Linked DNA regions of Sus scrofa. The protein of the gene in region 2 purifies or fractionates together with the protein of the main gene of each other region. This does not show direct contact. Links are inferred from orthologs where the notes say so. Each region holds a gene or a part of one and is shown on either strand. Other genes may lie near its edges. The genes, in order: CAST, CAPN1 and CAPNS1.

Evidence for each region.
Region 1: the proteins of CAPN1 (region 2) and CAST purify together in Homo sapiens (co-immunoprecipitation; 4 studies listed by BioGRID and IntAct, counting the BioPlex papers as one, with this or other methods). This does not show direct contact. The link is inferred for Sus scrofa from reciprocal best matches to the Homo sapiens genes CAPN1 and CAST.
Region 3: the proteins of CAPN1 (region 2) and CAPNS1 purify together in Homo sapiens (co-immunoprecipitation; 4 studies listed by BioGRID and IntAct, counting the BioPlex papers as one, with this or other methods). This does not show direct contact. The link is inferred for Sus scrofa from reciprocal best matches to the Homo sapiens genes CAPN1 and CAPNS1.

The regions. Positions count from the first base shown.
Region 1 is NC_010444.4:103,339,937-103,344,275, forward strand, and holds part of CAST (calpastatin), read left to right. Parts: intron 1-2,256; coding exon 2,257-2,340; intron 2,341-3,342; coding exon 3,343-3,390; intron 3,391-4,339.
Region 2 is NC_010444.4:7,002,300-7,006,638, forward strand, and holds part of CAPN1 (calpain-1 catalytic subunit), read right to left. Parts: intron 2,906-4,339; exon of another isoform or gene 2,796-2,905; intron 2,248-2,795; coding exon 2,069-2,247; intron 1,197-2,068; coding exon 1,185-1,196; intron 468-1,184; coding exon 259-467; intron 165-258; coding exon 125-164; intron 1-124. UniProt on the Homo sapiens protein: Calcium-regulated non-lysosomal thiol-protease which catalyzes limited proteolysis of substrates involved in cytoskeletal remodeling and signal transduction. Proteolytically cleaves CTBP1 at 'Asn-375', 'Gly-387' and 'His-409'.
Region 3 is NC_010448.4:45,509,788-45,514,748, forward strand, and holds the start of CAPNS1 (calpain small subunit 1), read left to right. Parts: upstream 1-1,622; 5' UTR 1,623-1,671; intron 1,672-2,517; 5' UTR 2,518-2,535; coding exon 2,536-2,738; intron 2,739-3,645; coding exon 3,646-3,679; intron 3,680-3,982; coding exon 3,983-4,072; intron 4,073-4,226; coding exon 4,227-4,284; intron 4,285-4,381; coding exon 4,382-4,446; intron 4,447-4,961. UniProt on the Homo sapiens protein: Regulatory subunit of the calcium-regulated non-lysosomal thiol-protease which catalyzes limited proteolysis of substrates involved in cytoskeletal remodeling and signal transduction. Essential for embryonic development.

The DNA.
Region 1 (4,339 bases), about 96 Mb from region 2:
TCTCTCTTCGACTTTCTTTGAGGGCTCGCCTGGCACAGTGTGGCAGGACACGCTTTACGAAGGCGAACACAAGGGAGCAGGGGAAGTGGTCCTTGTCCTCCAGGACCAAGTAATGTATTGTAATGTATCGGGAGGAGGGGAAACTTTAGTTACTACACAATGCGAGGCGCACAATGTCTCAAGGAAAAGGGTGCTCCTGGCAGGACCTCAGGGGTCCACACCCAAGGGCTGTGTGGCAGCCACCCAGCCAATGGCGCTTCTGCCTCAGGCTATTTCTAGAGAATTAGGGTGGTTTAATAAGATGGTAATTTGGGAGGGGCAAGTATAAACAAATCGCAAAACAAAAAGACTCGTAGATTGACTAAAATCTTACATTATTTATTAAGCAGTTTGGATTTAGGGATGCATATCAGTGTATTAAATTTCCTCTAGAAAATTGGCCAACTCCTAAAATTTGAGCAAAAAAGAACTTTTCTGCTCCTTCCACGAGTTTCTACTTTTCCACTCATTTCCACTAGTTTAATTATCTAAAATGTATAAAGAAGATCTTCCAATCCCTTGGGACCTTAAGCTGAATTTTCAGTATCTGTTGAATTCACTCTTCCTGGATGGTCTGATGTGATGGCTCATATAGTCATGAGAGGCTGTAGGAGTCCATGGCTACTCCAGCATGCTCTGCACCAGATAATGCTTCAGAAAAGAGGTCCATGCCTGGTTGTCATTGTTATAATGTATCATAATGTAAGATATTTATTCTGTAGTGATACCTCCTTATTCATCTCCCCTAGTCTGGTATTGTTTCAATTCAGGGGATGTTTGTTTTCACTTGCTACTAAATAGAAACCACAGCATTTAAGGAATGTAAAGATAAAAGAGGAATAGAAAAGATCTAACTGTGCATGTGTGGCTCTCACTGACCACAAGTCCAAGTGAAGAGAACAGTCCTATACAGGTGACCCTTTCATAAAGACTGTTTATAGCTGGAGACCTCACAAATCCCTGAATTGAGGAGTGCCAGTATATCATAGGACTTCCTCTATATCCTGCAGAGGAATATAACCAGAATTTTTTTTTTTTAAATCTCTTCATCCCTTAATGATAATTATATTTCTATAGAACAATAAAATTATAACTCCAAAGCCTAGAAGAGTATTTGGCTTATTAAAACGATTCAGGAGTTCCTGCTGTGGCACAGTGGGTTAAGAATCTGACTGTAGCAGCTCAGGTCATTGCAGAGGCATGAGTTCAATCCCCAGCCCAGCACATTGCCTTAAAAAATCCAGCATTGCCGCAGCTGTGGTGTAGGTTGCCGCTGTGACTTGGATTGAGTCCCTAGTCCAGGAGCTTCCATATGCCATGGGTGTGGCCATGAAAAAAGTGTTCAATACACATTTTAAAATTAACCAATCAACTAAGCATTCAGTGGAGAACCATAGTCTTAGGCTGAGATTTAGATGGCAGTGATAGAGTGAGCTGAAATCAGCTAAGTACTTACCTCCACACATTCTTTTGTGCCAGGAGTTCCTTGATTTGTGATTTAAATCCTTGCCTCGATATAGGTACAAATTATTAAGCTCCATGGAACTTTGCATTACGCAGCAGTAGTTTAAAATATAAACGTTATATCCTAGAAGCCAGAGATCTGCTATGGACCTGCGCTTTTATTTCTTCTGCGTTTGGTTGTTCATGATTCAGTAGTCCACTGACATCTTGGTGTTACCAAAGGGAGTTCTTTTAAAAGAAGTAAAACCACTTATCTGTGGATCAAGCCAAGATTGGCGATGGGCTGCTTCACGCTTTTCTGAATTGTTTTGGACATTCATGAGAATTGGTTGTTTTTTTCCCCCTTAAATAACAGCATCATTGAGTAAGACTGATGTCTTTAAAGCAATTGCAACTAACTTGTGCACTGTGTTTAACTTTCTTCAAAGGGTATTTTATTTACTTTTCTTTGGTGATCTTATAAATGAGTGAGCTAGATAAGGATTCTTAATAGCCCCATTTTGCTGCTGAAGGAACCAAGCCAAAGAAGGTCTTAAGTGGTTTCCCAGGGTGATAGAGACCAGGCAGGGGCACCTCCCCAGGACTCCTGGCTGTGTTGTTTTCTCTGTCACCCTTCACTGCCTTCCTCCTAGCTGCTCACAAGGCACCTTAATCTGATTTGGTCTTCTCTAGGACACTCAGGGGGTATGCAGAGTGATGTCTTATTTTACATGTGTTATCCAAATGTGTTTTTTTTTCCTCCTCTTTCATCAGGCAAAAGCCAAAGAAGAGAAACTAAAGAAGTGTGGTGAAGATGACGAAACGGTCCCGCCAGAGTATAGATTGAAACCAGCCATGGTACGTTGTCAGCTACGATGCATGACAGCAGCTCAGTCTGCTGCCTTCACATTACGTTTTGTCCTGTCTGTCCCATGATGCTTAAGGACATGTCTGTCCTAGTTCAGATATTAACTCTGAAAACCCTGAACCCTTTATTCTGTGTCCTCTGTAGTGGGACACTTCAAAAGAGGGCTTTCTAAGTAGTGACGATGTGGTCATTAATTCAAGTGTTTCATCTGTTAACCATGCTTGATACAGATCTTTAACTTTAAAGGACAAATTTGGGAATCATATTTTCTCTATCAGCCATATGAATAGAAGCATATAGATCTTCTAAGTGATAGATAAATATACAGTGATTTACCAGCATCCTCAGTGAAAGGTGGTTTTGTCGTTATTGGTTTTGGTTTGATGTGAGGATGGTGGACTTATTCCTGTAATTATATTTATAGTTAAGCTTTGAAATAATGCACATAAACAAATGATGGAAAATAGTTGTGATGCTTATGGATGCAAAGTTTCTCCTTTTATAGGAACATTCTAAATTGTGAGTATCCAAAAAGCTAAAACAGTTTTATAGAAATGAGACCTACAGAAACTAAAGCAGTTTTACAGAAATGAGACCTACCAAAAAGCTAAAACTGTTTTATAGGAAAGAGATCTACCTCTTCACCCTGAATTGGAAAATGGAAACTTTTTTTTTTGTCTTTCATTGATGTCACTGCATCTTTCTTGCCAAAGAACTTTTTTAAAAATTCTGTTTCCCTGTCCCAAAAGATGGAAATTTCTTTTAAAGAAAAGTAATTGCATTATATTTAATAGCATTTAGTCTCTTGATTTTTCCAGTTCAACTCATTCTTCTGATACTTTATTAAAAATTAATTTGAAACAAACTCATTCAGGTACATGGGAAAAAATAATATCTCCTCTTATATCCTGGAATTCCTAAAACAAACTTAATGGGATAAGAAAGAAAAATTTTCTATTTCGTTTTAAGTGAATTTTCAATTTCGTTTACAGGATAAAGATGGAAAACCACTCTTGCCAGAGGCTGAAGAAAAACCCAAGGTTAGGATAAGGTTTTTTTTTTCTGATACTTAAAAAACAATAGAACTATAAGGTATAAATTGAGACAATATTGGCAGAGACTTGCATGCCAGCCTAGTATTAAGAAGAGAGGAACTTCTGAGAGCAACACTTGGATTCTATTTCTGACTCCTTTTTACATATTTTCCTGACTATTTGCCTCATGAATTATCCCTACATGGTTACAAGTTTCTAGGTAATGTTTATTGAATATTAGGAGCTGATGTCAGGAGGGTCCTTAAATTAGGTTTTTAGCACTTGGTTTGATCCCAATCACAGCACCAAAAGCTCAATGATTCTGTACTGCCTTTATGTAATATGATGTTAACCAGCATAGTTACCTGTCAGGATGACACTAAGCAGCTATATTCAGTAGTCACTTACTGTGTGCCTGACACTGTGCTAAATGGTGTTCGTGTGCTACCGTTTTGAGTCCTTGCTGAATGAGGAGGGCACTACTATTACTCCCATTTTATAGATAAGGCAATTGAGACTTGAGTTCTGTTAATAACCCAAAGTCATACAGCCAGCGAGTTGCAAGGCCAGGAGTCAAAACTAGTCTGTTCAGCTTTGGGGTACAGCTTCTGGAGTACTTAACGTTTCATCATAGATTAGGGTCTGTAGAGATTTTGACTATTTACAGGAAGCCACTAAGTTCATTTCACCCAAAGAAATCAGGGATAGCAGAACTTTCCTGCCAAGATACCATGTAGTCAGAAGAAAGGAATATGGGATCCTTGTTTCCTCTGACTTATTCATGAGGGAAGTCATTAGGAAGTAGAAAAATCAATCACATAAGAAAAAATTGTAATACAGGTCTCCATTGGAATGAGTGGGCAATTTTTTTTTTTTTTTGCTCTTTTTGCCTTTTCTTGAGCCACTCCAGCGGCATATGGAGGTTCCCAGGCTAGGGGTCTAATTGGAGCTGTAG
Region 2 (4,339 bases):
TATTATTCCTCTGGCTCCTGCCAGGAGGGACTGTGCCCCGCCAGCCAGAGATCAGGGGACAGGACACTCGGGTTCCCAGGGTGAGGGAGAGGAGGAGGGTGGCTGCTGGGGGCAGGGCACGTACCTCGTCGGGGAGAATGGCCTGGACCTGGTCGTCCAGCTCTCTGCAGAGGGTGGGGAGACAGAGGGGCTGGTCAGCTGGGGAGCAGGAGGGGCGTGGGGAGGCGGGGGAGTGGGTGGGTTGGGGCCTCTACTCACTGGGTCCCGGCTTTCTTCTCTGAGAAGAAACGCAGCACAAAGTCGCCCTCCTTGTTGGGCTCGAAGGTGGAAGGCACCACCACGTACTCGCCGGGCGGCAGGCGGAAGCGGGTACTGACCTCCCGCAGGTTGATGAACTGCTCGGACCGGGCCCGAGAGGCGTTGGCCAGGAAGAAGTCCCGCTTCAGGTGCACCGGCTGGCCCACCAGCTGGCCGGAGGGGAGGAGGGAATGGGGGCTGCAGCTGCCTGCTCAGCAGCCCACCCTGAGGAGCTGCCCCCAGACCCAGACCCAGACCCCAGGTTCCAAGTTCTGACCAAGGGGCTGCAGAGCTGGCTCACAGCTCAGCCCCCCCACGAGCCGCCTGACCCTGACAAGTCACCCTGCTTCAGTTTCCTCATCTGTAAAATGGGGGTAACAGCCCTGCCTACTGCACACAGTGGAGGTGAATGGACCCCATGAAATAACGCATTATTCAGAGCTGGAGCCTCCCTGTGCCAGGCACTGCAGGGGGGCACCTCATTTAGTGCTCATGACAGCCCATTTTATAGACACTGAGGCTGAGTGCCTAAGCAACTTGCTCAAGGGTCCAGAAGATTCAGCCCATCCACCGCCACGCTCCTCAGCCAGCACTTACTCAGCAGAAACACTGAGACAGGAAGAGCCTTGCGGGTATGTGGTGTTCTGAGTACCAGGGTTCAAATCCAGCTCCCTTACCTACTACCTGCTCTGACCCCCAGGAGGACAATCTTTGCTCTGCCCACTGAAGAGTGGGCAGGGGCATGGGGGTACTTTGTGAGCCATAAAACGAAGTGACTTCTCAGCGCTTTATGTGTGGGCTTGCCGCAGTCCTGCCCGCTCTGAGCACCATCGGGCCAGGTGCGTTCAAAGGTGTGTAAATCCAGGTGAGTCAGATGGCACACCTACCTCCGGAGGGACCTGTCAGGAGAGACGAGGAAAGTTAGATGTTTGCTTTGCCCAGGGCAGGGGGCAGGGCGTGTGCTGGGCAGGGCCTCTGAATTCTCAGGATGAGAGTCATGGGATAAGGGGACCAGGTGATGGGGTCCTGGTCGTGGGGCCAGGGTTGACCCAGACCTGTTTTCATGCTAGAGAAAAGTCCCAGGACCCCAGAAGAGAGGCCCACGAAGGGTCCTCTTTGTCCCTGGAATGTCCCGTACCTCAGCTCTCAATCAGAGCTGGACTTCGGAGAGGCCCCCGGGCAGCCACCTGCCACGTCCTCCAGCCCAGGGACATCTGCTGCCAGGGCCTCAGGGCCTGGGCCAAGGCCGTGGCCATCCTTTATCCCCAGGGAGGTCAAGAAGTTTCTGCCTGGGACATAGCCCGTGAAGGAGGGCCCTCCATGGCCAGCCTCTGCTTACATACTTCCAAGACAGGGAGCTCACCACTCCTCCAGGGCAGACCACTTGCCCACTTCTTCCTAAAGCTCAGCCAAAGTCTGTCTGCCAGAAGCTGCCTCCCAGGTGTCAGCTAAGCCAGAGCCCACTGACCAAGGGTACCCTTTTGGCCTCTAAGGATGGGAGGAATCCCAGAATCTTCCCTTCTTCCAGCCAAGCATCTTCCTTCCCCTCCAGCCGCCTCACCGGATGCATTTTAGGACCCTGGCTGCCCCAATCTTGGCAGAGGGCCTCAGCAGGTGCCTCCCCAAGCCCTGGGACAGGGCTGCCCACCTCAGGAGCTCAGGATGGGCAGGTGCTGCCATGTTCTCTGGCGCCCCCTGGCGGAGCTCGCTTGTGGTGGGCGAGGAGGCGGGCTTTCTCGGCAGTGTTGGCTGGATCCATCCAGCCGCTCACCTCATAGACGGCAAAGCCGATGGTCTCCATGTCCCGGCCGAATCGGCGCTCCCGGCGGCGGTGTTTCTGCATGAGGGCGAGCACGAAGCTGCAGCCTGACTCACGGCCCCCGTAGTCGTCCTCTGGGTCATCCGTCTCCTCCAGCCGGATCTTGAACTGGGGGTTCACCCAGAAGGTGGCTGCAGAAGGTGGGGAAGCAGGGATCAGAGGAGTGGCCAGGCAGCCCCCGACCAAATCTTCCCCCCCATGTGTCTACTCATTCATTCATTCATTCATTCATTCAACAACTATTACTAAGAGTCCACTGTGTGCCAAGTGACAGATAAGGAGTGGGGACACACATGGTCCCTGCCCTCATGAGCTCACATGCCACAAGGGGAGGCAGAATCTGAGCAAGTCAGGTGAATCAACAATCACAACGAGGAGTGTCCGTTGTGGCGCAGCGGAAACATATCTGACTAGCATCCATGAGGATGCAGGTTCGATCCCTGGCCTCGCTCAGTGGGTTAAGGATCCAATATTGCCGTGAGCTGTGGTGTAGGTCGCAGATGTGGCTCCAATCCTGTGTGGCTGTGGCTCTGGCGTAGGCCGGCAGCTGTAGCTCCAATTCGACCCCTAGCTTGGGAACCTCCATATGCCACAGGTGCGGCCCTAAAAAGACGGAAAAAAAAAAACCAATTACAAAGAAAGCAAGCTGGAGTGGGGCAGGAAAAGCATTTTTGAGGAGATGACATTTGAGCTGAGACCTGAAGGGGAAATCCCTGGGAAGCAGGAGCAGGAGAGAAGACCCACACATGGGGCTCCAGTGAGCACGGGCGACCAGGGAAGTGGCACGAAGTGTGGGTTGAATCAAAGAGCAAAAGGAGCCCCTATCAGGACTGCACGGGGGAGGGATGTGACTGGATTAAGGTTATATTTATTTATTTATTTTCTGTCTTTTTTTTTTTTTTTTTTTTTAGGGCCACACCCTCGGCATATGGCAATTCCCAGGCTGGGATGGAATTGGAGCTGTGGCACAGTAATGGATTGAACCCATGTGCCCTCACGGATGCTAGTCAGGTTCATTAACCCATGAGCCACAACAGGAACTCCTGGATTGAAGTTTTAGAAGGGGGCTGCTGTGTGGACAATGGCTGAGGAGGGGGGGAAGGAGCACAGGGTCTGAGAGGAGGCCTGAGAGGGACTTGCAGATCTGGCAGTTTAGTGATTCAGCTGCGGAACAACCCTCTTGACTAAAACAAACAATTGCTAGACAGAATATGCAAAACTTTTTAAAATTTTTTTCCTTTTTAGGGCCGCTCCCACGGCATATAGAGGTCCCCAGGCTAGGGGGTCAAATCGGAGCTGCAGCTGTTGGCCTACACCAGAGCCACAGCAACGCAGGATCCAAACTTTATCTGCGGCCTAGGTGCAGCTTTTGGCAATGCCAGATCCTTAACCCACTGAGCAAGGCCAGGGATGGAACCTGCATCCTCAGGGATGCTATGTCAGGTCCTTACCCTGGAGACCCACCACAGGCACTCCAAGGATGGGCAATGGATGCTTAGATACGACACCAAAAGCATGAGCAACAAAAGAGAAAACAGAAAACTGGCCACCATCGAAATTAAAAACTTCTGTGCTTCAAAGGACACTATCAAGAAAACAAAAAGACGGAGTTCCCGTCGTGGCTCAGTGGTTAACGAATCCGACTAGGAACCATGAGGTTGCAGGTTCGATCCCTGGCCTTGCTCAGTGGGCTAAGGATCCGGCGTTGCCGTGAGCTGTGGTGTAGGTCGCAGACGTGGCTCGGATCCCGTGTAGCTGTGGCTGTGATGTAGGCCAGTGGCTACGGCTCCGATTCGACCCCTAGCCTGGGAACTTCCATATGCTGTGGGAGCGGCCCTAGAAAAGGCAAAAAGACAAAAAAGAAAACAAAAAGACAACCCACAAAATAGGAGAAAACATATGCAAATCATCTTTCTCATAAGACTCGTATCCAAAATATATAAAGAAATATGTAAAGAACATACCAAAAGACAACTGTATCTAAAAACGGGCAAACTATTTGAATAGACACTCCAAGAATATATACAAATGGCCAATCAATACCTAAAAATACACTCAACATCATTAGTCATTAGGGAAGTGCAAATCAAAACTTCAGTGAGATACCAGTTACAAACCCAATAGGATGGCAATAAAAAAAAACCAAACTGGACAATAACAGGTGTTAACATGAATACGAAGAAACTGGAACTCTCTAACATGGCTAGGGGGACGGTAAAACAG
Region 3 (4,961 bases), on a different chromosome or scaffold from region 2:
GTACGAGGACATGTGAGCCGATATATGTAAGGTACTTAGTAGGGTGCTTGGCAGTTAGTTTTTTGCTTTGTTTTGTTTTTGTTTTTTGGCCGTGCTGGCAGCATGTGGAAATTCCAGAGTCAGGGATGGGACCCACACCACAGCAGTGACCCAGGCCGCTGTGATGACAATCTGATGCATACAAAAGAACTCCCCAGTTATTTTTTTTATCAGTATTATCTAAGGATGAACAAGAGATGACCCAGGTGGCCTCCAGGAGGAGGGAACACCACAGGTACAGACACAGAGGCTAACAGCTTCTTCTTCTTCTTCTTTTTTTTTTTTTTTTTTGTCTTTTTAGGGCTGCGCCCATGGCATATGAAAGTTTCCGGGCCTACGCCACGGCCACAGCAACCCCAGATCTGAGCCACATCCATGACCTATGCCACAGCTTGCAGCAACACCAGATCCTTAACCCACTGAGCAAGGCCAGGGATCTAACCCGCATCCTCATGGATGCTAGTTGAGTTCTTAACCCACTGAGCCACAAGAGGAACTCCAACAGCTACTGTTTACTAAACATTTACCACAAAATTCTCGTAGAGGCCTAGAAGTGGGGACATGGAAACCCTTGTTGGCATTTTACAGATTAGAAAATCATTGTTTAAATCACTGTTATGGGACCCCAAATTATTAAGAGGCAAAGTCAGGATTCAAACTCCAGCTGAACCAGCTTCCCAGGAAGAGGCTAAGGGCTGGACAGCCAGCCAGTGTGCCTGAAGGAGCCTTGAAAGAGTACTGGGCGCTCACAGGTTGAAGGTTGCAACTAGAGAGCAAGCAAAAGGGCTCCAAGGGTTGCTTCAGTTGCCATTTTTCCTTTCAGTTGCATTCCCCACCCTGCCCACCACCTGACCTTGGGAACATCAAGCTTCAGAAACCAGGCTGTGGCCCCCAGCCTCTTCCAGTGTCTGGACCCTCTTTAGAGACTGGAAGACTGAGACCAGGTAAAATGATTTTTTTTGGTCCATCCAAGTAAAATGATTCTGGTGACCCTGACCCAGGGGGTAAAGGGGTGCAGGTGGAGGAACAAAGAAGTCCCATTCCTGGGAGTAACTGGGCTGCCATCAGGGCTGTGCCTGCAGGGTCCCCCCACACAGATGAGGGCGCTTGTCCTCAGACTGTGAGCAAAACAAAATCCGGGGTCTCCAGACGCTGTCTGTCGCGACAAGGCTAGGATAGGGTACAAGTGCCAAGAGTCCCAAGAATCCCTATCCGAGCAGACCAAAAACATCTGGAGGCTTGGCTTTGGGACGACAATTCACACTACAACATTTAGGCTTGGCGACTGTTCGGGTCACCTCGGAGTCCTGGTCCCCGAGTGCCTGCATTGGGGACCGAAAGGCGTAGAGAAAGATTTCCAGTCTATGAACTCCGGGCGGCGTCAGAACTGCGGCTCAGGAAACGCACAGCGAATTCTCAGCAGCCGCACCCTGTTACACTGGGCGGGGCCAGCAGGCGCCTGCGCAGTTTTAATACCGGCTCTAGGACCGCGCGGAATCCGTCCGGGCCGCCCTGCATAGCCTAACCCTGCCCGGGCCGCCTGAGTCACCCGCCCCGCCCTGCGGAGCCGGACGCAGCCGGAGGCCCAGGAGCTGCACAGAGAAGCGGACCCGCGGACGCGTGAACGAGGCGGTGAGCGCCCAGTCCGGACTTCCCCCCTGGTCTCCCTAAGCCCGGCCCTGGCGGCCTCCAAAACCATAGAGATCCTACAATTTTGGTCTCAGGAGTCCCCTAGACCCATGTTCAAACCCCTAGATCTGTCTGGCCCCAGTTATCCCGCCCCGGAGACTCTTCCACCCTCCCTCTCAGGTTCTGAAGTAGGAGCATGGATTTGAGAGGTAGCCGGTAAATTCAGCTCTGGGTGCGGCCTCCAGAATCGCGATCCTAGATCCGATCTCAGTTCTAATGGGGACTCCGTTATCTCGGACCCCGGGGCTCACACCCACAGTCTTAGACCCGAACCCACAGACCCAGCAATGACACTGTTATCTCGCTGCTGTTTGTACCTAAACCCGCAAGCTTACATTCTGGCTTCCCTAAATCCTGGCCCTGGGGCCTCCAGGCAGAGAATTTCTGATCCACGCCCTGATCCGCCCCAGACCTCTACATCAGTTTTGGGGCTCTGAATCCCAGATTAGAGCGCCTGCTTGGGGCCCCCATCTCGAGAACCCCACTTGACTTGGCTGGTGTCTGGTGCTTAATGATGCCTATGCGTATACTCAGTCCAGGGTCCTTCGAGCCAGATATGGACTCTTTGGACCGGGAAGAGGTTTCAAACCAGATAATCCGACTTTATGCCACCCATCCGAGACACCCTCCCCCAGAAGCCCAGGCCCTATCCTGAATGAACCCTCGAGCCCCAGTCAGAGGCTTCTTATTACTTCCCCCAGTCCAGCAGCCAGAAATGCGTGTATTTGGGGGGGAAGGGGCGGGCTTAGGGACGGGACAGCAACTTGACTCCTTTTTTCTCCCCCTCAGGAATCTTGAGTCACAGCCATGTTCCTGGTTAACTCGTTCCTGAAGGGTGGCGGCGGCGGCGGCGGGGGAGGCGGGGGCTTGGGCGGGGGCCTAGGGAATGTGCTCGGAGGCCTGATCAGCGGGGCCGGAGGCGGCGGTGGCGGCGGCGGTGGCGGAGGAGGCGGCGGCGGTGGTGGCGGAACTGCCATGCGCATCCTGGGCGGGGTTATTAGCGCCATCAGGTAAGGCGGGGCCTGCAGAGGGGCGGGGCCTGGAGGAGGAGGCTGGTCCCGCAAGAATAGAATGGGGTAACTTAGACCCGGACCCGGAACATTAATTAGGCTGGGGCTGGTCTGGGCCAGCAGACCGGCCTTGAGGAGGCCGACTGTATTGAGTTCAGGGAGCGGGACTTGATATGGGAGTAGTTTTGACTGTGGTGGGAGACACAATTTGATGGGCCAGGTGGGGCTTAATGGCCAGGTGCAGCCTCCTTCCGCTAACCTGGAGACTAACGTTAAGGGGGCGGAGCTACTGAAGCCGGGTGTCACTTCACTGGGGCAAAGCTTACCTAGGGGCGCGGCATAGCCCTCGTAGGTGCGTTCAGGGGTGTGCCCAGAAGAAGGCCAGGCTTAATGGGATAGGGGAAAAGGACTTGAAGGGACAGGGCCTGGCCAGGAACTGGCTGGATTAAAATAGAAAAATGTCCTGAGGGAGGTAGGGCGGGTGGTCGGTAGGGGCCTAGTTAGTTTTGGCCCCTGAATGTGATCCCTTGAAGGAGTGAGAACTCACGGAGCTGGGGTGGGATCTTGGGAGGACGCAAGTGTTCAGAAGCCGTGGAGATGGAGTAGGTTCCTAGACAGGTGAGACCTGAGGAAGGTGGGCCCTGGGAAAGCTGGGGCCGGGCTTCTAGGAAGTATGCCCTCGAAGGGGCTTTGTCTTTTGAGAGATCCGCCACTGTGTAGGGGGCACAACCAGGGCAGCAAGGATAGGGACAGGTGAGGGCAAAGACTGATGAGGCAGGCGGAGGGAGCTGGTAGGTAGGCTGGCAGGCTACGCGGTGGGGCTTGGTGGGCTGGGTCGTGGGGCTGGAGCTGCCAGTTGGAGGCCCCGCCCCCTGGCTCTACACTAACTTCTCCCGTTTCCCTTCAGTGAGGCGGCTGCGCAGTACAACCCCGAGCCCCCGGTAAGCCGCCCTTCGCACTCAAGCCGCCCTTCGCAGTCGGAGACCCCTTCTCATTCGGAGGCCTTTTCCAGCACCCGTCCTTGTCCCTCTGAAAAAAGCCCCACACCTCTCCTTATGAAATTTATCTCATGAAGTCTCCCCCTTGTCATGTCCCCAAACTTAGTGGTATCCGCTCCCTAATCACTGGCCACCTCTCATTCTCTGGTCACTCAACCTCCCAGCCCACTCTGACTTTCCCATTTAGGGCTGTCCTGGCCAGGACACCCCTCTCCCTTCCTGCTCTGAGATCTCCTCCTTCTGCAGCCCCCTCGCACCCATTATTCCAACATTGAGGCCAATGAGAGTGAGGAGGTCCGGCAGTTTCGGAGGCTCTTTGCCCAGCTGGCTGGAGATGTAAGTAACCTGGGGTCCCCAGACCTGTCGGAATCCTCCGGTGCCTTCCCTTGGGCTGCCCTTTACGTGTACAATCCTCAAGTTCCCATCCTCCCTCATGACACGCACAGACCCCTTCCAGTCACCCCGACCCATTCCTAACTTTTCCCCTCAGGACATGGAGGTCAGTGCCACGGAACTCATGAACATTCTCAACAAGGTCGTGACCCGACGTGAGTGTCCGGCGTCAACACATGGGGCAGGCTTAGGGGCATGGTGGCTGGGGCAGCTGTGATCTCTGACCTCTGATTTTCAACCTGTTCCCCACAGACCCTGATCTGAAGACTGATGGTTTTGGCATTGACACATGTCGAAGCATGGTGGCTGTGATGGATGTATCCTTGAGGGCAGTCTTGGGGAGGCCTTGGTGAAGATGGGATTTCCTTCCTTCCTTTTTTTTTTTGCTGTTTAGGGCTGCATCTGTGGCATATGGAAGTTCCCAGGCTAGGGGTCGAATTGGAGTTACAGCTGCTGGCCTACGCCACGGCAACATGGGATCCAAGCCATATCTTCGACCTTCACCACAGCTCATGGCAATGCCAGATTCTTAACCCACCGAGTAAGGCCAGCGATCAAATCCGAATCCTCACGGATACTAGTTGTGTTTATTACTGCTGAGCCACAACGGGAACTCCTTGAAGAATTTTATACATGAGGAATTCTGAGTGGTTATGGGTTTTTTTTTGTTTTTTTGTCTTTTCTAGGGCCACACCCATGGCACATGGAGGTTCCTAGGCTAGGGGTCTAATCGGGGTTGTAGCCGCCGGCCTACACCATAGCCATAGCAATGCAGGATCCGAGCCATGTCTGTGACCTACACCACAGCTCATGGCAATGCCAGATCCTTAAC